Linked DNA regions of Sus scrofa. The protein of the gene in region 1 purifies or fractionates together with the protein of each later gene. This does not show direct contact. Links are inferred from orthologs where the notes say so. Each region holds a gene or a part of one and is shown in the gene's direction. Other genes may lie near its edges.

Evidence for each region. The genes of interacting proteins can lie anywhere in the genome.
Region 2: the proteins of CLUAP1 (region 1) and IFT46 purify together in Homo sapiens (affinity purification with mass spectrometry; 3 studies listed by BioGRID and IntAct, with this or other methods). This does not show direct contact. The link is inferred for Sus scrofa from reciprocal best matches to the Homo sapiens genes CLUAP1 and IFT46.
Region 3: the proteins of CLUAP1 (region 1) and IFT27 purify together in Homo sapiens (affinity purification with mass spectrometry; 3 studies listed by BioGRID and IntAct, with this or other methods). This does not show direct contact. The link is inferred for Sus scrofa from reciprocal best matches to the Homo sapiens genes CLUAP1 and IFT27.

What each region holds. Positions count from the first base shown.
Region 1 is NC_010445.4:38,738,599-38,745,922, reverse strand, and holds part of CLUAP1 (clusterin-associated protein 1), read left to right. Parts: intron 1-538; coding exon 539-718; intron 719-3,256; coding exon 3,257-3,352; intron 3,353-4,496; coding exon 4,497-4,580; intron 4,581-7,324. UniProt on the Homo sapiens protein: Required for cilia biogenesis. Appears to function within the multiple intraflagellar transport complex B (IFT-B). Key regulator of hedgehog signaling.
Region 2 is NC_010451.4:45,856,640-45,864,746, reverse strand, and holds the start of IFT46 (intraflagellar transport protein 46 homolog), read left to right. Parts: upstream 1-2,828; 5' UTR 2,829-3,053; intron 3,054-3,707; 5' UTR 3,708-3,804; intron 3,805-7,363; 5' UTR 7,364-7,398; coding exon 7,399-7,443; intron 7,444-8,107. Other genes in the region: ARCN1 (coatomer subunit delta), read right to left, coding at 804-806. UniProt on the Homo sapiens protein: Forms part of a complex involved in intraflagellar transport (IFT), the bi-directional movement of particles required for the assembly, maintenance and functioning of primary cilia. May play a role in chondrocyte maturation and skeletogenesis.
Region 3 is NC_010447.5:10,991,443-10,999,460, forward strand, and holds the start of IFT27 (intraflagellar transport protein 27 homolog), read left to right. Parts: upstream 1-2,739; 5' UTR 2,740-3,151; coding exon 3,152-3,185; intron 3,186-8,018. UniProt on the Homo sapiens protein: Small GTPase-like component of the intraflagellar transport (IFT) complex B that promotes the exit of the BBSome complex from cilia via its interaction with ARL6. Not involved in entry of the BBSome complex into cilium. Prevents aggregation of GTP-free ARL6.

The sequences.
Region 1 (7,324 bases):
CATAAGTTCTTAGGATTGAAATTGCTGGGTCAGGAGTTCCCATTGTGGTGCAGCGGAAATGAATCCAACTAGGATCTGTGAGGATGAGGGTTCGATCCCTGGCCTCGCTCAGTGGGTCAGGGATTCAGTGTTGCTGTGAGCTCTGGTGTAGGTGGCAGATGTGGCTCGGATCCTGCATTGCTATCTATGGCTGTGGCATAGGCCAACTGCTGTAGCTCCGATTGGACCCCTAGCCTGGGAACCTCCGTATGCTGTGGGTATGGCCCTAAAAAGCAAAAAAAGAAAAAAAAAAACGAAAAAAACCTGCTGGGTCAAAAGCTGTGTGCATTTTAAATTTTGCTGTCATTTACCAGATTGTCCTCTGTGAAGGTTGTATCGGTTTACATACTTGCAGCGTATGACCAACTTGAAAGTTTGATTCCACATGATTTGGTTATGTTGCAGTTGTTGGCAGAGATATTTTCTAATGACCTGCATGGAATTTGGTTTCGATTTTACCTGAAAAGGGTCTTAAATTTTGTCCCCGACCTGAAAACAGGCCACCAAGGCACATATAAAACTCAACACTAAGAAGCTCTATCAAGCAGACGGGTACGCGGTGAAAGAGCTCCTGAAGATCGCCTCCGTGCTGTACAGCGCCATGACGACCAAGGGCCTGGAGGGCTCCAGCCTGGGCCAGGGCGATGTCAGCAAATTCAAGTTTGACCTGGGCTCCAAGGTGAGGACCTCGCGAGGCTTGGCGAGGGGGATGGGGGTTTATTTCTCAGACTCCGAAATGGAACGTCCCAGCCGGCACCCCTCCTTTCCTTACTCCTTGACTGAGGGCTCTTTGTCCGTTTTGTGCTCATCGCTTTTGGATAAAAACAGAAAGGACATTAAATACGATTGTCTGTTGAAAGCCAAGTCTGCCAGGCCCTGTTCCACCGCTGGGGACACAGGCCTGAACAACCAGGACAGGGATCCTCTGTTGCCGAGGCTCGGTCGGGGGAGCCAGACTGTAAACCCCAAAGCACGGCGAGTGTCGGGTCAGGTGGGCTGAGTGTGCGGGGCTGGGGGCAGACAGGGGCTGGGGAGGCGTCTGAAGACGGAGCGAGGGCGGCCTCAGGGCTTGGGCGCTTTTGTGAGCAGAGATCTGAGGGAGGGAAGGAGCAAGCCCCTCTGTGGAAGGGGTGCCGTGCGTGTTTATGGAAATGCCAGGTGGAGAGGCGGGTGTGTGTGTGAGGAGAGCTGGGGGGACAGTGACAGACCCTGTTGTCCCTGGAAAGCCACTGTCAACAGTTTGACAGGGGAAATCATTGAGTTTTGAGCAAAGAGGTACGTGACTTGAACTTTCATGTTGGGAGGGTCACTCTGGCTGCTGGTTTGAGATCAGACTGAAGGGGCAGCGAAAGCGGAAGCAGAGGGACTTGCAAGACAGCAGGTGACGGTGCCTCTGAGCAGAGTGGGTGTCATGCCCTCAGCTGAGCTTGGAGGAGGAGAGAGCTGCCAGGACTCCATTAAAGCAGCAAGCTAAGGAGATACTGTTATGGCTCAGTGGCTTAAGGACCCGCATTGTCTCCATGAGGATGCAGGTTGGATCCCTGGCCTTGCTCAGTGGGTTAAGGATCCAGCAGTGCTGCAGAGTGCCATGTAGGTCGCAGATGTGGCTCGGTTCCGGTGTTGCTGTGGTGTAGGCTGCAGCTGCAGCTGTGGCTTGACCCCTGACCGAGGAACCTCCATGTGCCGCCAGTGCTGCCATAAGAGGAAAAAGAAAAATGAAGCCCCAGGCCAAAAGCGCCCGACGTAAGCAAGGGACGAAGCCGGAGTTTCTAGACCTGTGCCCTAAGCGGGCTGCGGGGTGCAATGTAGTGGGCAGTGAAGCAGTGGGAAGAGTGTCCCCGAGTTTCCTCTTCGCCTTCCATGAGGAGGCCTCAGCAGAAGCGCCGAGGGGACCTGGGAAAGCGGGGCTCCACCAGAGCATGACCGGTGGCGCTCCTGGGTCCTTGCCTGCAGCTCTGAGGCTTCAGAGCCCGCAGGGCACTGGGCTTGGGGGGTCCCCCTGAGGCTGCCGGGGGAGGCCTCTGGGATTGGCTCGTCAGGCCGCAGAAGCCCACCCAGGAGCCAGGCTGCTCAGTGGAAGGAAGTGGCCAGAGGGCAGGGCAGTGTCTTGCAGGTCCATCTTGCGGGACTGCGCGTGGGTTGAAAGCAAGCAGACCACACGGGGAAGGGCCTAAGCAGCCGGGTCTCGTGGCGCCTTCTGTGGGGGTGAGTTCGGCGCCTGTGGCACACGGTGAGGTGGCTGCTCATCCCATGGCACTAGCGCCCTCGAGGAACTGCCTTTCAGGTTGAATTTAAGTGGTTTTACCCCGAGAATGGGCGAGGTGACTGCGGAACCGGCCCGGGGAAGTGGCTGTTGAGATCGAGGAGCCGGGAAGGAGCAGGCTGGGCAGGAAAGAGGAAGCGCTGGGTTTGGGACGCGTTCACTTGGCGGCGTCTGTCCAAGCAGGAGCCCAGGGGAGCGTGAGAGGCGGGGGGCTGAGCTCTGCTCCGCTGCAGGGAGGGCGGTAAGACTCCTGCTCTTGGGGCACAGGAGGCGGCCCGTTCCTGGCGAGGAGGTGGCGGCCGCCGGAGCTGTGGGCGTGGGATCATCAGCCGGGAGTGAAGAGGGAGCTCTCGCTGGTGGTTTGGAGATGAAGGGGCTGGGAACTCGGCGTCGGGGGAGAGCGGAGAGGGCACGGGGATGTGGCGTGTTTGTCAGGGCTCTTTGGAAAAGCTGCGTGTTCGAGGGAGAGAGTGTGATGTGCAGACCCTGAGAGAGAAGCCTGTGGGTGGGTGCTCAATCGCCACCACTGTCGCCTTGGCCGTGGAGCCGGTCCTGCGGTGCGCCCTTCGCAGGGGCCCCTGGCAGCCCCGTGACGCGCCGTCTCGGGCAGAGAATGGGGGCGGCAAACAGGCATCTGGAGTCTGCGGTCACACTGTGCCCCTCCCTGGTCACCGCACCACTGCCAGCGTTCCCCTGCTGTGACCCAGTCCAAGCAGGAAGCACGCCAGCCCCCACCTCCTGGTTGCAGAGGACCCTTGACCCGACTTGGGGTTTTCAGAGCCCCCCCCCCAGCCCCAGGGGGTTCTCTGCTGCAGGCCGTGCATCTGGTGGAAAACGCTCAGTAGTCAAGTGAGTCGGGCATCCGGTCGGAAGTGGTGGCGATGTGAGCACACTGGTTCTCTCGGGGCCTAAAACCTGTCTCTGAAGTTTCTGTTTCTGCCATTTTCCTTTCAGATTGCAGATTTGAAAGCTGCCAGGCAGCTTGCTTCTGAAATCACTTCCAAAGGAGCGTCTCTGTACGACTTGCTGGGCAAGGAGGTGGAGCTGAGGGTGAGTGGTGTCCAGGAACTTGGGTCACCTCCTTCTCGAAGCAGGTTTCCAAGGTTTCTCTTCCAATTCTCTTTCCCTGAGCTTCTGATTTTATTAAACTGTACGTGGCTAAATGAGATCCCGTGTGGAAAAGTAATCCGCACACTGTTCGCTGCTGGTCCTGCTTCTGGCGGGCCGCTCTCCGTTTCTTACACTCTGCCATCTAGTTCAGGAATGGCACATCCGTGCTTGCCGCCTCCTTGTGCCCATGCTGCTTGCCCCTACGAACTCAGCCTCAGCTTTCTTCCCAACAAAATGCTTTTCTGCACCTGCAGGACCCAAATCTGGCTGCCCAGTGGACTCATCAGGGGATCTTCACAAACTACGAGTCCAAAATGTGACTTGGGCTTTGGGAGGGTTTTCTTTTTTTTTTTTTTCCCGTCTCTTTAGGGCAGAAGACTTCTGTCTCAGAAGTTCCCAGTGCTGATGGGTAGGCCCTGTGCCCCCTTGGTGGTTCCTTTTAGTGCTACCGGCAGGGCCCAGGTGCTGCTTCTCATTGGTTACAGTTTTGTGCTGCACTTGGTTTGGGGGTTCCCTGAATGGAATGCAGGTAAAGAGGCACATTTGGGAGACAAGATTTTAGATTTTGGATGGTAAGTTCAGTTTCCCATGGTGTCAGGGGACAGGAGGCCTCTGGCTGGAAAGGAGGGCCTCCTGCTCTGGAGACGCCAGGTTGGCAGAAGGATTGCAGGAGACACTTGGAGGAAGTGTGTTTGTGTCAGAGATCCACATTGTAATGGAATTTTTTTTTTTTTTTTGCTTTTTAGGGCTGCATCCAAGGCATATGGAGGTTCCCAGGCCAGGGGTCAAATTGGAGCTGTAGCCACCGGCCTCCACCTCAGCCACAGCAATGCCGGCTCTGAGCCATGTCTACAGTGTACACCACAGTTCATGGCAATGCCAGATCCTTCACCCACTGAGTGAGGCCAGGGATCGAACCTGCAACCTCATGGTTACTAGTCAGAGTCATTTCTGCTGTGCCATGACGGGAACTCCTGTAGTGGAACTTTCGAGAACCAGTCCTTAAGCCATATCTAGATCTGGGAATTGGTTTTGAGAATTCCTCTTCTGAAAAAATATACAATCTTTTCATTGTTTCCCATAGGAACTGAGAACAGAAGCAATTGCCAGACCTCTGGAAATAAATGAGATTGAGAAAGTGATGAGAATTGCAATAAAAGATATTTTGGTAAGATTATTTTGCATTTATTTAATGGTTTTGCGCTTAGGACTTGAAAATATTTATTCCTGGCTCTACAAGGCAGAACAGCCTACTCCTAGTAACAAATAAGAGATATGTTAGTGGGAAGGAGAAAAATTTTTAATTCTAAATTTATTTATTTATTTATTTTTAATTTTTTAAATTTTTTTTTTTTTTTGTCTTTTTAGGACCGTACCCGCGGCATATGGAGGTTCCCAGGCTAGGGGTCTAATTGGAGCGATTGCTGCCGGCCACAGCCACAGCAACACCAGATCTGAGCCACGTCTTCGACCTACACCACAACTCACGGCAATGCGGGATCCTTAGCCCACTGAGTGAGGCCAGGGATCGAACCCAAAACCTCATGGTTCCTAGTCGGATTGTTTCTGCTCTGCCACGACGGAAACTCCTAAATTCTAAATTTACAAATTTACAAATTTAGAATTTACAAATTTACAAATTTACAATTTTACAAATTTAGAATTTAACCTAGAACTAGGTTACTTGCTGTTATTTTTCCATTCAATGTATTTTTCCATTCAATATAAATAACATTTTCTCATGTTACTTAGACTTATCAGTTTTATTCATTTAATAATTCTTTTAAATTCTTCAGTAATTTTAATAAAGATCCTATTTTATGGACTCTTCATTTTTTTTTTAGGCCACACCTGTGGAATATGGAAGTTCTCAGGCTAGGGGATGAATTGGAGCTGCAGCTGCCAACCTACGCAGCAGCTTTTGGCAACACCAGATCCTCAGCCCACTGAGCAAGGCCAAGGATCAAGTATCCTCACAGAGATTACATCGGCTTCTTAACCCACTGAGCCACAGTGGGAGCCCTGACTCTCTCATCTTTTTTTTTTTTTTTTTCCTTTTTTTTTTGCTTTCTTTGGGCTGCTCCCACGGCATATGGAGGTTCCCAGGCTAGGGGTCCAATTGGAGATGTAGCCACCGGCCTACGCCAGAGCCACAGCAACGCGGGATCCGAGCCGTGTCTGCAACCTACACCACAGCTGACAGCAATGCCGGATCGTTAACCCACTGAGCAAGGGCAGGGACCGAACCGGCAACCTCATGGTTCCTAGTCGGATTTGTTAACCACTGCGCCATGACAGGAACTCCTCTCTCATCTTATTTAACCAGATTCTCACTGCTGGGCACTGAAATGATTTCCATATTTTCTCAATTCCAGACAGCGCTATAATAAATAGAGTGATCAGCAGCCTCTACTCCTCACCCATGATCAGTTATCACCCGCTCATCTCATCTAAAGCATTCATTTGCAAATCACGTAGTTGTGGGGGCAGGGACTCAGACTGCTTGTGTTTGAATCCCTCTGTGTCATCTGAGGCAAGTTACTTAACCTCTCTGTGCCTCACCTTTCTCATCTGTAAAATGGGGGCAGTGGCCATGTCCACCAGGGTCCTCCTAAACATTCAGTCTGACTGTGTGTCATATAGCATCTCTGGCACTTAGTAGGTATTGAGTCACTAGTAGAGATTCATTTTATTCAGCAGACACAACAGGGGTCCTTGTGTAAATGAGGAGTAGGTATAAAATAATTTGCTGAGAGTTGTACAAAATCCTGAGGTTGATAATACTCTTGTCATACTATGGTCATACTTACTCCCTGGGCAGCCCAGTCCAGGGAGTCAGAGCCGCAGCAGGGTGAGAAAGGCAGGGCAGCTGAGATGGGAGATTGGGTGTATAGAGGCAAATTGGTCACATAAATAAGAAAAACTTTTTTTTATTAAAGTATAGTTGATTTGGAGTTTCCCTCATGGCTCGGTGGAAACAAATCTATCTAGTATCCATGAGGATGCAGGTTTGATCCCTGGCCTCACTCAGTGGGTTAAGGATCTGGCGTTGCTGTGGTATAGGCCACCAGCTACAGCTCCAATTCGACATCTGGGAACCTCCATATGCCACGAGTGCGGCCCTAAAGCCAAAAAAAGTGTTGATTTACTGTAAGTACATTAAAGTTCACAGAAGCCGTGGTTTTCACTGTTGGAAAAAGGAATTACAACCGCGAAAAGGGAAAAATTAGAGAGAACCCTGAAACAGGAGGTGTTGGTTAAATACATGGTTTTCGACAGATAGATGTGGGAGTAAATTTTGCAGTACGTCTGTGGATGTGGAGCATATGTAAGACGTGTTTGTGTACAAACACATGCGCATCCATACACACTTTCTTACATTTTTTTCCACATTTTCAAAATGTAGTTTATTAGGTTTTTTTCTTTCTTCCAGCCCATGATAGGGGGCTCTATTTTTATTTATTTATTTATTTATATGGCAGACGATTTACAATGTTGTGCCAATTTCAGGACAGGAAAGTGACCCAGTCGTACATATTTGCGTAGTCCCTGTCTTGTGTTACTTTCTGTCATGTTCTATCCCGAGAGGCTGGATGGAGTTCGCTGTGCTCTACCCCAGGACCCGTGATGCTTCTCCGTTCTGAATGTACTAGTTTGCAATGACCAACCCCAACCTCCCACTCCCTGCCCCTGCCTCCTTAGCAACCATGGGTCTCTTTTCTATGTCTGAGCTTGTTTCTCTTTTGTAAATAGGTTCATTTGTGCCATATTTTAGGTTCCACATATAAGTGATATCATATGGTATTTGTTTTTCTCTTCCTAACTTCACTTAGTATGATAATCTTCAGTTGCTTTCATGTTGCTACAAATGGCGTCATTTCCTTCTTTTTCTGTGTCTGAGTAGTATTCATT
Region 2 (8,107 bases), on another chromosome or scaffold:
TCCCAGAGTGTGAACCCTTTCTCACTCCCGTGAGACATCTGACACACACATTTCATTTCACCTGAACTATAAGCTCCTTGAAGACAGAAAGCCTGTGTTCTCCTTAATCTGCTCACATTTCTACAATGCTCCATACACACCTATATACTCAATCGCACTGATAAATGGACTTACCCAAGATCTACAGAAATAGGTAGCAGCTTTCAGGAACACTTGGGTCCTACAAATTAGTGCCAGAAGTTAATCCTACCTGTTCTAGGCCTCTTTTCGGAACTGTCCTCTATTTCTCCCTTTTGAACAAACTAAAGAAAAAGTCCGGAACGCTAACGGATTTAGATTTAGGTTTAGAACATCAATGGCCTAAGGAACACCGGGGGGAGGTGAGCCGATTACAGAAGAGAACTCCTGAGAGGCCCGGCTTGCTGAGCCTAAGCACCCACGGAACCTGCTGGACACTAGCTTCCTGGTCCGCAGAGTGGGGTCCACGGGACATCACTAAGAGGTTCCTGCAGAGCAAAACTCCAGGCCCGTTTTAGGGCCTGAGTCCTGGCAGAGCAGGGTGCCCAGCCGATTGCGGGGGAGGGGTGTGGGCGCAACGACAGACGACTGGAGGAGTCAGGTCCCTCGGATCTCTCCACAGGTCGGACACAGGGTAGGGAAGGCCACAACGCTCCCAGAGCCCCAGCGAAGCGACCGGCTCCGGGCGCTCGGGGCGGGGCTCCTCTGGCCCCAGCACCAGGCCGGCAGCAGGGAAAGCGGGCGAGCGAGGCCGTCCAGGGAGCTGGGTCCGGCTCAGGTCTTACCATGGTGAGGGCGGTGGTGAGGCGCTCCCGCGCTCCAGCTCCACTGCGACTCCGGCTGGGGTGGGAGGAAGGGGAGCACCCGCCGCTCAGAACCTGCTGCCCCCCTGACAGGAGCGCCGGCCGCTTCGCCTCCTGCCAAGATGGCGGCCTCGAGCCACGTCTCCAACCGGAAACGGCGCGGGTCAAAGGCCGGGAGGCGGGGCGCCGTGAGTGGGGAGACCGGGCGCAGGGCTGCTACGCAGGCTGTGCCATGGAGTCCTGGAGCCTCCACCTCCTGCGTGGAACCGCTGGCTTCAGTTCCTTCACCGTCCTCAGCGCCTTCGTTTAAATTGCGAAATCTCTTGCAGTTTATAAAGCTCTCAGAGCCACTGGTAGCATTTAACATACAAAATAACTGGTGTTCATAAGGGACTAGTAGCCAGAATATATAAAGAATCCTTAAAACTCAACAATGGAAGGAGTTCCCCTTGTGGCTCAGTGGAAACGGAACGGGACTAGGATCCATGAGGATTTGGTTCCATCCCTGGCCTGATGCAGTGGGTTAAGAATCCAACATTGCCTGAGCTGCAGTGTAGGTGACAGACACAGCTTGGATCTGGCATTGCTGGTGGCTGTGGCAGCAACTGCAGCTCTGATTTGACCCCTAGCCTGGGAACTTACATATGCCACGGGTGCAACCATAAAAAGACAAAAACAAAACGATAGATGGCCAATAAGCACATAAAAATATGCTCAATATCTTTAGTCCTTAGGGAATTGCAAATCAAAGCTTGCTAGGATGGCTATAATAATAAGAGTTGGTGAGAATGTGGAGAAATTAGAACTCTCATACACTGCTGGCGGGAACCTGAAGTAGTTTAATTGTTTGGGGAAAGCTTGGCAGCTCCTCAAAAAGCTAAGCATGGGGTTACCATGTGACCCAGCAATTCACTCCTATGTATGCGCCCAAGAGAGTTAAAACCACACACCCATACACAACCTTGAACACTAATGTTCATAGAAACATTGTTCATAATAGCCAAAAAGTGGAAACGATCCAAGTGTCCCTCAGTACTCGAATGAATAACAAAATGTGGTATATTTAGAGTTCCCACCGGCAAAGCGGAAACGAATCCGACTAGGAACAATGAGGTTTCGGGTTCAATCCCTGGCCTCACTCAGTGGGTTAAGGATCCGGGGTTGCCATGAGCTATGGTGTGGGTTGTAGACGCGGCTGGGATCTGGCATTGCTGTGGCTCTGGCATAGGCCGGCAGCTACAGCTCCGATTAGACCCCTAGCCTGGGAACCTCCATATGCCGTGGAGGAAGCTCTAAAAAGACAAAAAAAAAAAAAAAAAAAAAAGGTAGTATATCTAAACAATGGAATATTAGTCACAAAAAGGAATTAAATTCTGATACATGATACAACATGGATGAACCTTGAAAATACTATGTTAAGTGAAAGATGCCACTCACAAAAGACCGTATCTTCTATGACTCCATTTATGTAAAATATCCAGAACAGATAAATCCATACAGAGAAAGAATGGCCGGCAGCTACAGCTCTGATTTGACCCCCAGCTTGGGATTTTCCATAGGTCGCAGGTGCAGCCCTAAAAAAAATTAAAATTAAAAAATTAAAAAAGCGGGAGAATGTGTTAAATTTGAATCACAGGTAAATAATAATTTGTTAATACTATAAATATGTCCCATGCTATGGACACAGTGGAGGGGAAAGACTATAATGTAATAAAAATGCTATAAAAGTAGTACAGAATGTCAGGAATTGAGGCAACCCCTGAGTTTGCCTAAAGGCTGAGTGGTCTGACTTAATAGGAACTCATACCTACTGATCCTTTCCCTGGGTAAAAAATGCAGACCGTGTTTCGGGATCTAGAGCTTAACTCTCTACCAACCGGAATTCATCTGATTTGCTGCCTGCAGCCGCTAGATGCCACCACAGACACATCTGTTGAAATCTAAACAATCACGATGTGAGCTCCTCTTTTTCTGCTTGGCTCCTTAGCTGGGGAGAAACATAATGCGCGAGTTGAGCTCTCACGAGAGTTAAAGGAAGTCTCGCGATTTTTCTGTTTCTTTCTTCGCTCTTTTTATTTATTTATTTATTGTTTGTTTGCTTAGCTACTGACAACACGCCAGTTGCTCCCCTTCTTTCCAAGTAAAAGTGGCCTGGCCTGAGATTAGGGTGAGACCCCAGCCCTAGGCTGGGGTTCCTTCCAGATAGAAGAGACGGATTCGGAGGGGCTACAGGTAATTCGTACTCACCCTAACAGAGAACGCTTCCTCTCTCCCAAGAGGAATAGAAAGGACTCCTTTTCTGTCCTCGCAACCCCTCTCCACTTCTTTCCGTTTTCTTACCCACTATACTTTCTCCCTTCCCTTCACGCCATCACCGACCATTCTGCTTGCCTTACTCCCCACGAAACGTAAGGGGCATCCGAACTACAAGACGAGACCAAGGGGGGTGGGGTGGTCATGGTATAGATGAGGGTGATGCTTTTGGACCAAGAGACTAGAGTTTAACCTCTCTTAGAGGAACAGCCCCCGCCCTGGTGACTCTAGAAACAGAATTGTTTCTAGAACCTCTACAGCTAAGAAATCCCAGCAGCCTTGGGAAACTGACCGAACCTGAGGCTCACTTGAGCCGTTCTCTACAAAAGAGCTTTGGGGAAGGTGATGCAGAAGTTGGCTGTTGTTTCGCTCCAGGATTTCTTCGTTCTCCGGTCAGCCTGCCAGCAGTTCCTAAATAAGGGCTGCAGCAGAATGACTTAACTGCTTGAACTGGGGTGAGGGTTTCATGTAAAACTGGTGTCTCGGAACCATTGCTGGTTTGGAGTCCAGCTCCCCACAGAGTGCTTACTGTCCCGTGATAGGAGCTGTGTAATCATGTTTCCTTTTACTTAGACCAAGATTATAGAAAACCAGACATATGATGAGCGTCTAGAGATTAACGACTCGGAAGAGGTTGCAAGTATTTATACTCCTCCCTCAAGACACAAAGGTAAGAAATAAATGAAGAGAAAAGAAGACAGACGGTTCTCAGAGCAAAGAGCAGGATGGACTCATGATTGTTTCCAATAATTTTTTAGTTTATAATAGCAAATGTTGACTTTCAGAGTCAAGTTATTTGTTGTCGCTTCTGTTTTCTAACTACTTAAGGAGGGAGAAAACACCGCCACCCACATTGCAGGATCTTCCTTCAATCTGACCAGTTTCCCATCATCATTTATTTCGTGATACTCTTTACCCATAATCTGCCAGGGGTTCATGTTTGTTTATTTAATTTATCAAAAGTCTTGGAGTTCCCGTCGTGGCGCAGTGGTTAACGAATCCGACTAGGAACCATGAGGTTGCGGGTTCGGTCCCTGCCCTTGCTCAGTGGGTTAACGATCCGGCATTGCCGTGAGCTGTGGTGTAGGTTGCAGACGCAGCTTGGATCCAGCGTTGCTATGGCTCTGGTGTAGGCCGGTGGCCACAGCTCCGATTCGACCCCTAGCCTGGGAACCTCCATATGCTGCGGGAGCGGCCTAAAGAAATAGCAAAAAGACAAAAAAAAAAAAAAAAAAAGTCTTTTGCTCAGTTTTGAAGATGCTTCAGTAACCTGCGCTTAACCTGCAATGCCAATTAAAATCTCAACGGAATATTTTTAGAGGACTTCACACCATCATTTATTCAACAAACATTTTTTGAATGCCTGCTGTCAGCCTTATGCTTCGCACTAGGTATGCTGTATTAAAAGAGACATTAACCCTGTCATCCTGATGCTTGTGATTACGGGAGACAGACGCCAAATAAATAAAGAGACAAAATTACAGATGCATTAAGTGCATGATGGAAGCAAAGAGTTTGATGTTATGGAGAATATTGGTGAGGAATGGGCTCCACTTTTGATAGAAGGATCAAGGAAGACCCAAGGAGGTGATAGTTGAAGCTGAAAGATGAGAAGGGTCTCGACATTGAGGAAAAGTAAGCCAGGAAGAGGGAGCAGCAAGTGAAAATTGAAAAGGCACTGAGGCCAGAAAGAACTTCATTAGTTTGAGGACTTGAAAGAGACCAGCATATGGTAGGGGGAAGTAGCCTCAGAGGTGGGCGGGAGGCATGACAAGCAGGGCTCAAGAGGCCATATTCCTCTTATGTGTGACATGGATTGAAAGGTGCTACGGAGAAAGTAGGGGGTCAGTAGGACTGTTGCCATGGTGGAGTTGAGGTGACAGTGGCTTGGATGTGGTGACAGTTGATAATAGAATTGGTTAATGCCAGAGGTATTGTTGTGGTCAGATCACTGAGAGTTGCTGAAGGATTGAATTTAACTCCTGACTTAGGAATCAAGGATGACGTCCAGGCTTGTTTGTTTGCTTATTGTGGTTAATTTGCCTACATAAAAATTTGGTATTTTGACGATTTTGAGGTATACAGTTCAGTAGCACTAAGTGGTTCCTGTTGTTGTGTAACTATTTCCAAAACTTTTTCATCATCCCGAATAGAAATTGTACCTGTTGAACAGTAACCCTCCATTCCCCTTCCCCTCCCAGCCCCTGCTAACCTTTTTATGGTTGAATAATATTCCATTGTATATATAACCAAATTTTTTTTTTTTTTTTTTTTTTTTTTTTTTTTTTTTGTCTTTTGTCTTTTGTTGTTGTTGTTGTTGTTGTTGCTATTTCTTGGGCCGCTCCCGCGGCATATGGAGGTTCCCAGGCTAGGGGTTGAATCGGAGCTGTAGCCACCAGCCTACGCCAGAGCCACAGCAACGCGGGATCCGAGCCGCGTCTGCAACCTACACCACAGCTCACGGCAGCGCCGGATCGTTAACCCACTGAGCAAGGGCAGGGACCGAACCCGCAACCTCATGGTTCCTAGTCGGATTCGTTAACCACTGTGCCACAACGGCAACTCCCAAATTTTGTTTATCCATTTGTCTGTTGATGAGAACTTGGGTGGCTTCCACCTTCTGGAGATTGTGAATGTGCAACTATGTACATTGGTGTACAACTGTCTGAGTCCCTGCTTTCAATCTTTTATATAAAACCTATACACCCAGGTTTCTGACTTAAGCATACTTATAATCTTGCCAGCCATGGTCATTATAATTTGTTTTTAGTTTAGGCAAGTTAATAGGCAGAAAAATAGGCATTTGATTGACTTAGAAATCATTGAACATATTTTCATGCCAGTTAATAATATCTTACCTTTGACTATGCTTTTATTTATTTTATTTTATTTTATTTTTTTGCTTTTTAGGACCTGCAGTATATAGAAGTTCCCAGGCCAGGGGTCGAATCAGAGCTGCAGCTGCTGACCTGCACCACAGCCAACAGCCACGCTGGATCCTTAACCCACTGTGAGGCCAGGAATGAACCCCCATCCTCATGGGTACTAGTCATGTGTGTTACCGCTGAGCCACAATGGGAACTCCTGATTATGCTTTTTTTTTTTTTTTTTTTTTTTGTCTTTTTAGGGCCTCGTCCACAGCATATGGAGGTTCCCAGGCTAGGAGTTGAATGGAAGTTGTAGCTGCCGGCCTATACCACCGCAATAGCAACACAGGATCCGAGCCATGTCTGCAACCTACACCATAGCTCACAGCAACACCAGATCCTTAACCCACTGAGCAAGGCCAGGGGTCGAACCTGCGTCCTCATGGATGCTAGTCAGATTCGTTTCTGCTGAGCCGTGATGGGAACTCCCTGATTTTGCTTTATAATTGTTCTGAATATTTTATTGCTTTTATCTTATAGACATTGATTCAGATTCATATTTATGACCATTAGTTGCCAGGAACTAGATCATTTTCTTCCATGTAAAATTTTTTCAATTGATCCTTACAACAGTCCTGAAAAATATTACTAACTCCATCTAGAAGTGAGAATTCTGAGACACAAAGAAATTAAGTTATTTTGTTAAAGTGATAGCATTGTCCTTTACACCCAGTTTTCTGCCTATATATCCAGCACTCTTTTGCTTTACTAATTACTAACCTCATTTCACCAATGTGTAAACTAAGCACAGATTTTATACTATTTATGTAATGGCAGATAATCAATATAATGTCTCACCCAATGCCTTAACCATAGTAATGCCTAAAACATAATAATTCAAGTAAACATATCTTTTTTTTTTTTTTTTTGATCTTTTTAGGGCCATAACCATGGCACATGGAGGTTCCCAAGCTGGGGGTTGGATAAGAGTTGTAACTGCTGGATTGCACCACAGCCACACCAACTCGGGATCCGAACCGTATCTGTGACCTACACCACAGCTCACGGCAACACTGGGTCCTTAACCCACTGAGCGAGGCCAGGGATCGAACCCGTATCCTCATGGATACTAGTCCAGTTCGCTAACCACTGAGCCACGACAGGAACTCCAAGTAAATACATCTTGAATTGAATTGAATTAAATTTACAGAGCCGACTAGAATTCAGTTTCCGGTCTTTCAGCTAGATGTTCTTATAAACCCAGTTCCATAAAATGGTTAGAGCATAAAATATTATAAACTAAAAATATTTGTCTTTAAAAATCATTTTGACAATAACCTAAAGGGAAAATCTTCTTCCAAGGACTTCCTCATTCTGCCCATCTTCCTAACAAGACTATGGCTGATAACAGTAGTGATGAGTGTGAAGAGGAAAATAACAAGGTACGTACAACCCACAGCATCTTGTGAAATTTCCGCTTTGAGTTTTTAGTAGTAGTTTGACACCAGTTCATTAGCAGCCTTTTCTTGAATACTCACCTCCAGAGGTTGGGTATCTTTAAGCTCATGGAGGACAATTCAAAGAGCCGTAAGATTTTGACTCTCCTTCAGGAATAAGGCTTATTATTATATAGCTGACTTTTTGGTGAGAAATTTCATATAACATAGCCTAGTGTTTCACAAACTTTTTTTTTCTTTTTCCTTTTTAGGGCCACACTCAACGGCAGATGGAGGCTCCCAGGCTAGGGGTTAAATCGGCGCTACAGCTGCCAGCCTACACATAGCTACAGCAACGCAGGATCTGAGCCGTGTCTGCAACCCACACCACAGCTCACAGCAATGCTGGATCCCTGACCCACTGAGCAAGGCCAGGGATCAAACCTGCATCCTCATGGATACTAGTGGGATTTGTGTCTGCTGTGCCACAGCGGGAACTCCTTAAAAGGTAATGTTTTAAGATAGCCCCACTTCATAACTAGTGTGCTGTTTTATATCTTACCTACAAAGTAATTTGGGGGCATTTTTCTGTGGTATATAAAGTCTTTCATTTTAGTCAGAGATTTTGCTAAGCACTACTTTGAAGAAGCAGACAAAAGTGAACAATCTT
Region 3 (8,018 bases), on another chromosome or scaffold:
CCTGTAGGGGCCAGAGGCTTAATAGTCTGTGCTTCATCCCCAGCTCTGCCCTTCTCTAGTCTTATAACCTTGAGGATTGGATTTCACCTCACTGGAGCCTCAGTCTCCCCGTTTATCAAAAAGGGCGGATACAGGCTTCACAGGGCTTATTATGAATATCAGATAGGAACATGAATATTAAATTAATGACTCCTTTCAAGCACTTAGAATGAGGCCAGCATTCAGTATGGGTTTAGCAAACACCAGCTCTGTTAGAGCCACTCAGGGAAGGGTTAGACTAGAATTTCACCAGGGCCTTCAGGGCTCCCAAACTCTCTGATCACCCAAAACTCAGTGACAGTCATGCGGCTGTCATTTTGACATCAAGACTGTATAGCAGGCCCTCAGGGTAGTGGAGTAAGGGGTACAGAATTCACCATCTCTCTGGGGAGATCCAGAATGCTCTTACAGGGAGCTCCTGTCAGTGGCTCAGCCGTAACGAACCCGACTAGCATCCATGAGGACGCAGGCTTGATCCCTGGCCTTGCTCAGTGTGTTAAGGATCCGGCATTGCCCTGAGCTGTGGTGTAGGTCGCAGATGCAGCGTGGATCCTGCGTTGCTGTGGCTGTGGCACAGGCTGGCAGCTGCAGCTCCAATGCTACCCCTAGCCTGGGAACTTCCATATGCTGTGGGTGCGGCCCTAAAAAAAAAAAAAAAAAAAAACAGGAGTTCCCGTCGTGGCGCAGTGGTTAACGAATCCAACTAGGAACCATGAGGTTGTGGGTTCGGTCCCTGCGCTTGCTCAGTGGGTTAACGATCCGGCGTTGCCATGAACTGTGGTGTAGGTTACAGACTCGGCTCGGATCCCGCGTTGCTGTGGCTCTGGCGTAGGCTGGCAGCTACAGCTCTGATTCGACCCCTAGCCTGGGAACCTCCATATGCTGTGGGAGCGGCCCAAAGAAATAGCAAAAAAAAAAAAAACAAACCACAAAACACCACCCCACAATGCTCTTACAATGGTGCTGACCGAAACCACACACAGCAGCACCAAGGAAAGGGATGTGGGCTCTGCAGATGTGGACTCCGCAGATGTGGGCAGAGGAAGACAGCCCTATGAGGGAGGGGCTGTTAGTCCCTCCTGCCCCTCACAGATGGGGAAACTGAGGCTCCCAGATATATCTCCCCCAAATGTGTTTCAGCATCTCAGCTCCATGGAGCTGCCTCAAAGAGTGACTTACTCAAGAGGGCCTCTGAGGGATTAATTAGCAGGGCAGCCTGGAAGCGGGGCGGGGGCAGAAAGACCAGGCAGAGGCTTTCTGACTCACCGAGGCCTGGGGTGTCTGAGACAGACTTGCATGATGTTTCCAAAGAAGACAAGTAGGTGAGGGGAAGGCAGGAGACACATCTTAATCACAATACCAGGAATGAGTCCCAAGGAAAGAAACTTCCAGGCAGCTTGCTCTGTTTCACTCCCAATTCAAGGCTGAAGCATCCACAGAAATGTGTGGAGTGTATGTGTGTTCATGGCCCAGCGCAAGGCTGGTAGCCACAGGGAGACACTGAGCAGGTGAGGCAAGTTCCAGGTAACTGAAAGGCCTGTGATGACAAACCCCCGGGGGCAGGCACCTTCACTGAGGGCATCTTCCTGCTCAGCACCAGCCATCCCAGGGGGCCCCAGCAGAGGCAGAACAGGGGTGCCTGCACCTGGCATACGGCAGTGATGATCAATGAAATTTGTCCAGATGAATCTCTTCTCATTCATCCATTCCTCACTGTTGAGCCCCTACTATGTTCCAGGCACTTACAGACCTTCTTTTGAGCGTCAGGACAACCCCAGGAGGTGGGTTCCACTAGCCCATTTTTAACGAGGAAACAGGCTCAGGGGCGAGGCGATGTGCCACGATGGTCACCAGGTCAGGAAGACGGCGGCGGCAGTGATTTCAGTCTGAGGTTCCTCTTTCAGCAAGAGGAGCCTCCCCCAGAAAGTCAACAGACATCCTCGGAGCCTCCCTGTGGGATGGGGAGTGTCCTGGGGCTGGCTTTCATTCGATGATGTGCGGTATGTGATATATTCTCCATTTTACAAGAGGGGCTGGACTCAGGAAAGTAGGGCTTCAAGTGTCTGAGTCCCGCTGCTCCCCCACATTAAACTCACTTGTTCTCTCTTTGTCCACAGACATCACTTTCAACACTTTCCTATTTTACATTTTAAAGCATGACATTCTCGGGCTTTAAAAATCAGATTTCCCTGTGAGATGCGAGCCAAGGACTAGATTTCTTGATGCAGCTTACGTCGCTCTCCCCGGAATCTGGGACTTGAGGGGGCGACAAGAACCTCGGCCCAACAGAGCGGGTTCAAAGTTCCGCTTGGGCAACTGCACCTTGTCCACTGCGCAGGCGCCGCTCCAGTCTCCCGCGCTCCCAACTGGCCCCCTCCGTGGGCGAACCCACTTCCAGAAGGGGAGGAGGGTACGCGTTCCTCCCGAGATGGTCCAAGCCAGCCTCTGGCCAATCAGAAAGCTGCTTTTATCACCGCTTCTGGATATAAGTTGTTGGAGCTGTTTTTCCCTGAACTTTCCAGAGGTGAGGGGGCGGGAGGTGGAGATGATTGACATGCTCTACAACTATTAGCCAAGCGAGAAAAGTTTGAAGAGCAGATACTGCTACGAATTACCTGGCGAGAAAGGGCTGTTATCCCCGCCCCTCCTTCCCACTGGTCTTCGGGAGCTTTCGGGTGTGGGAGCTTTTGGTGGCAGCCAATCCACAACCAGCAAGGAGGAGGAGGAGGAAATAGAGAAGGCGGGGCAGGCGGGGCATGGTTGCCCGAGAAGCCCATCTGTTGCGGTTCTGGGGGCGGGAAGGTTGCTGGATCACTATTCCTGCTTCCCACTAACTGGAGCTGTGCCTGGGACGGGATCCGAATCGCCTCGCTGGCATCTTCCAGGTTACTCTCTGAGACCTTGAACTTGGCCCCATCTGGCGATCCTCCGCGCCCTGCCGCGACCCTAGTGCCCGAGAACTGCCCGCGGGCTGCCCAGAGGGTCGTTGTCCCCACCGCCGCCACAGGACCCTTCAGCGCCAGCCTTCCCCACTCCCCTTCCCAGGCAGGGCCCCCCAACGCCTCCAGCAGCCTCTCTTCCGCTGTCTGGTCCGCGGAGGTGATTGGTTACCATGGTGAAGCTGGCAGCGAAATGCATCCTGGCAGGTGAGTCTGAAAACTTGCGGATGAATACAGTCGACGGAGGCCAGAGAGTTATCAAGAGTTTTTGTTCATGTAAATTGGCTACTCTCTTTCCCTTTCTCTCTTCCAAAGGCGAGTTAATGCAATTACTGATAGAGTAAATTCCATTAGGCGTAGACGAATTATCTTCCACAGCACATTTGTAGCTCCAGTTGCTTTTCCGCACTCCCTGTCATACTCTGAGACCACTGTCACTAATTTGAGCTGTGCTCAGAAGGAGTAGACTCGCTAAAAAAAATAAGGCTAAGCTCACCCCAAGTGCTTCAACTAAACCATGTCCTGTACCCCGAAGTTAGGCATCAGTGACGTGATGGTCTTATGAGATTTTTTTTTTCCTGAACCCATTCCTCTCAAAACGGGGATAGGAGGTAGTCATGTACAGTTGAGCAGAGTCTGCAAAAGTTATGTGTGTTGTCTTTAAGACCCAGAGTTACTGTGCTGCCCCACAAGCAGGAGGACATAAAGGACTCTCCCAAACGTCAGAATCTCTGTTTTCCTGACTGATACATCCCAAGCACACAGAACAATATCTGGAACATAGTAGGTACTCACTAAATATTGGTAGAATGAATGAAAATGTGACATGCGCATTTGTAGTATTTCTGCTCATTTCGAAAACATTTGCCATGATTATGGACCTGCGACCAAGGAGCATGTATGTACTTTCCTGAGTCCTTACTGCATGTCAGGCAGGTGTATTTCATTTCATCCTCTCCCAGGAGGCAGCACACTGGGTTAAGTGCTGTGCTCGTCTGACCTTACTGTGGCCCAAGGTCACCCCTAGCAAAGGAAGGTCATAGGTGGGATGTCAACCCCCAGATTTGCCAACCTTCAAAATCCTTCACTTGTGTGACTTTGGAAACCTGTGACCTTTCCAGCTTTTCCTGACCAGCTCAGGAATGAAGCAGTAAGAACGTATATCGAAGAAAAAGATTCCTTTTTCAGTCTTTATTCCAGACTGAAAGGGATGATATTTTTTTAAGTGACTTTTCCAATTTGGAAATAAAAGGGTCACACCGGAGGATAACTGACAACAATCACTCAGATCATTCTGGAGCAAATGAAAATGAATGGTTCTCAAAAGCAGTCTCTAGTTGCCAAAGCGCCAGGAGGGGCAGTATTGTGTAATAGGAATAATTCTGCTGTTCCTCTGATTGGCTGTGTCCTCTTGAACAAAAGTACTTCTCTGAGCCTCAGTTTCCTCATTGATAAGGTGCGAATGTTTTTTCTGAAGTTAGATTTTTTTTTTTTTAAATGGGCTTCTCTGAGATCCCATTGTGGCTCAGCAGAAGCGGACCCGACTAGTATCCATGAGGCTGTGGGTTTGATTCCTGGCCTTGCTCAGTGGGTTAAGGATCTGGCATTGTGGCTGTGACATAGGCCAGCAGCTACAGCTCTGATTCGACCCTGCCCTGGGAACTTCCATATGCCGAGGGTGCGGCCCTAAAAAGAACAAAAAATGAGCTTCTCTTAATTTTTTTTTTTTTTTTGATCTTTTTAGGGTCACACTGTGGCATATGGAGGTTCCCAGGCTAGGGGTCAAATCGGAGTTATAGCCACTGGCCTATGCCACAGCCACAGCAGCACCAGATCCGAGCTGTGTCTCCAACCTACACAGTAGCTCATGGCAATGCCGGATCCTTAGTGAGGCTGCGCGAGGCTGGAGTTGGAACTTGTGTCCTCATGGATGCTAGTAGTCAGATTCACTTCCGCTGAGCCACAACGGGAACATATGTTATTTTATGTTTATTATAGTGGATTTACAGTGGGCTTCTCTTTCTATTCTTTCTCTTCTTTTTTAATTCAACTTCCATCTCGCGGTTAACTTACTGAGCACCCTCTATGCACCAGCGCTGTGCTGAGCCCTCATCACCACCACAGCTCATCTCCACAACCCTATGGGGTCAGGATGATTGTCATCCTCACCTACAGACGGGGCAGTTGAGGCCCAGAGAGGTAGGGCCCTTGCCCTGGGTCACACAGCTGGATGTGGCTGAGCTCGGAGCGAGACCCAGGTGATCTGATTTCCAGAGCTTTGTTCGTAGCCCCATACGATTCTGTCGTCCGGCCTTGATTCTAGACCCCTTGCCCTTCTTCACATCCACACCGTCGGGAACTTGTTTTACCTGATTTCACCCACTGCCTTGAGATGTCATTGCTGAGCTCCACCCCAGCCCTCAGTCTGCCACTTCCTTTTTTTTTTTTGTCTTTTGTCCTTTTAGGGCCGCACCCGCAGCATATGGAGGTTCCTAGGCTAGGGGTCTAATCAGACCTGTAGCTGCCGACCTACACCAGAGCTCACGGCAACACAGGATCCTTAACCCGCTGAGCGAGGCTAGGGATCGAACCCTCAACCTCATGGTTCCTAGTCGGAGTTCATTTCCACTTCGCCAGCCGCTTCCTTTCGAGGCCTCTTACCTCCTCTTGGAAGTTTCCAGGGACCGAAAGACCTCAGCGTAGGGATTCACTCTGCACAGCCCCACCTCCACCACCCATCAAATATTCGTTCACCCCCTTCCACCAACGCGCCCCTCACTAGCCTACCGTGTAAATAGAGTCACTCTGCCTTTTTTTCCCTCAAATAACTAGTCACTGAGGGACCTGGCAATTCAAATGGTTTTTCAGTCCACGTATGTTTTGAGTACCTACAATGCATGCGTCGTGACGCAAGGTGCACTGGGAGTACGAGGACGAACCGGAAGCGCTGAGTTGCGCGTAGTCCCTAGTTACACAGAAAACACAGATCAGATGCCCTTTGTGTGCCAGATCCCAGACAGATACCTCAAGGCCCCACTGCTAATTGCTCTGGTTCAGGCGAAGAAAGAAACAACACTTAACATTTATCTATATTTTATGTGCCTCAGAATCACTTAAATATCGCTTCATATGTATCAGGCGCTGCCCACGTTAACTCATTAAATCCTCATAACAGGAGTTCCCACTGTGGCGCAGTGAGTCAAGACTCCACCGGCAGCAGCTTGGGTCACTGCGGAGGCATGGGTTCGATCCCCGGCCTGGCACAGTGGGTTAAAAGATCCACCCAGATGTGGTGCAGGCCGGCCACTGCAGCTCAGATTCAACCCCTGGCCCCTGAGCGTCCATATGCCGAGGTTGTGGCCATGAAAAAAAAAAACCCAGAACAAGTCTATGCAATCAGTGCTATTATCCCCATTTTGTGGATGTGGCAGCTGAGGCCCAGAGAAATGGCTGACCCAGGGTCACACAGCTGATAAGCCATGGAACCGGAGTCTGTGCCCTGCGGAGTCGTGATGAATTGCCTGTTGCCATATGTGGGGATGATGATCGGGTCTCCCTGGAGGGCTTCTCTGATGCCATCTCATGCTGCCCGCACTGAGCCACAGGAACCGCACAGTTAAAGATGAAGGAGCGAGAGAGGGCCTTCAGAGGCTGTGCAGGAAGGACATTCTTTGAGCTTTGCCTGGCAGAGCACGGGCAGGACTAGGGTTTGGGTTAGGGGAGACCTGGAAGAGGTTATATCTTCGAGGAATTTTCAGGGATCAAGAAAATAGGAGTAGAGAGCCTGGATTTTGCATAAGGGATCACCGGAGACCGAGTTGCAAGATGGGAAGGAGAGCGAATCCTTGACCAGCTCTGTGTGAGCATGACAGGGAGGCACTGTTTTATGAAGGTCCATCCGTAGATGTCAAGTTCAGGGTGGGTGAGAGCAGGGAGACAAACTAAAAGGAGAGAGGGCCAGTTGGGAAGTGTTTTCAGTCGAGACCCAGTCAAGAAAAAGGAAAATACATCAGGCGTTTCAACAGAGAGATTATAATGCATGGAATTGGTTCAGCAGGTGTCAGAGAACTGAAAATGCCAGACGACAACAGAGAAATGACACAGAAGTGGTAGGTGGAGGTCAGGGTTTTCGGAAGCTTGAAGAAGAACCTCCACCCCCCACTCCACCCCACTCCCCCACCCCCGCCCTGAGCTGAGATCCAGACCTCTGAGGAGGGGGCACTGCCCAGCCACATGGTTCCCAGCGTGATGCTACCTCATGCCACAGGTCTCTAGGACACTGGCCAGGAGCTCAGCCCTGTGTTTAGGGCAAGACACCCCCAAACCAATTCCAGACCCTCCTGAGGGTCAATGTCTTGGGACCACTCCTAGTACGAGTACTCCTAGCATTCGGTGCTACGTAAGGCAGGGTCCAGGCAAAGAAGCAGGAACCACACTGGGTATCTGGACAGTGAGCGCTCAGTGCGGGGTGTTCATTTAACAGGTGCTGGAGGACTGGAAAGAAAAGGGGACCATCAAGCAGCACAAAGGGTGACTGCAGAAAGGAGGTTCCCCCAGGGCCGGGGGAACGGACAGAAGAGAGCAGGTTATGGGAACCACGAAGCTCAGAAGGGCCCTGGATGCTGAGCTGACACCGATGTCTGAGGGGGCGGGCTGAGGTCATCCGCAAGTGTGAAAACTCAAAGCACATCTAGAGGCAGCAACTAACCTCTCCTGCTGGGGTGAAGGCCAAGGCTAGGAGAATGCCAAGAGAAACAGCAAGCGAAGGGGAAGGAGGGAGTCCCTCGCCCCCTCCAGCCCTCCGGTCTTGCCCTACGACTCACCTTGGCCGAGCCTGACAGGAAGCCCCTGGCGAAGGAGAAACTTGTGTGTTCAGAATCCCAGCCCCAGCATCACAGGGCAGAGCATGGACAGCCGGGTTTGGGGCTGAGACGGGAGCCTAGTTCAAGGGAACTAGGGCAGCACCCGCAGTGACCACAAAGGCCGTGAGGGCTGGAGACACGGGAGGGAGGGAAGGAGTGACAAGGAGGCGGGCCCAAC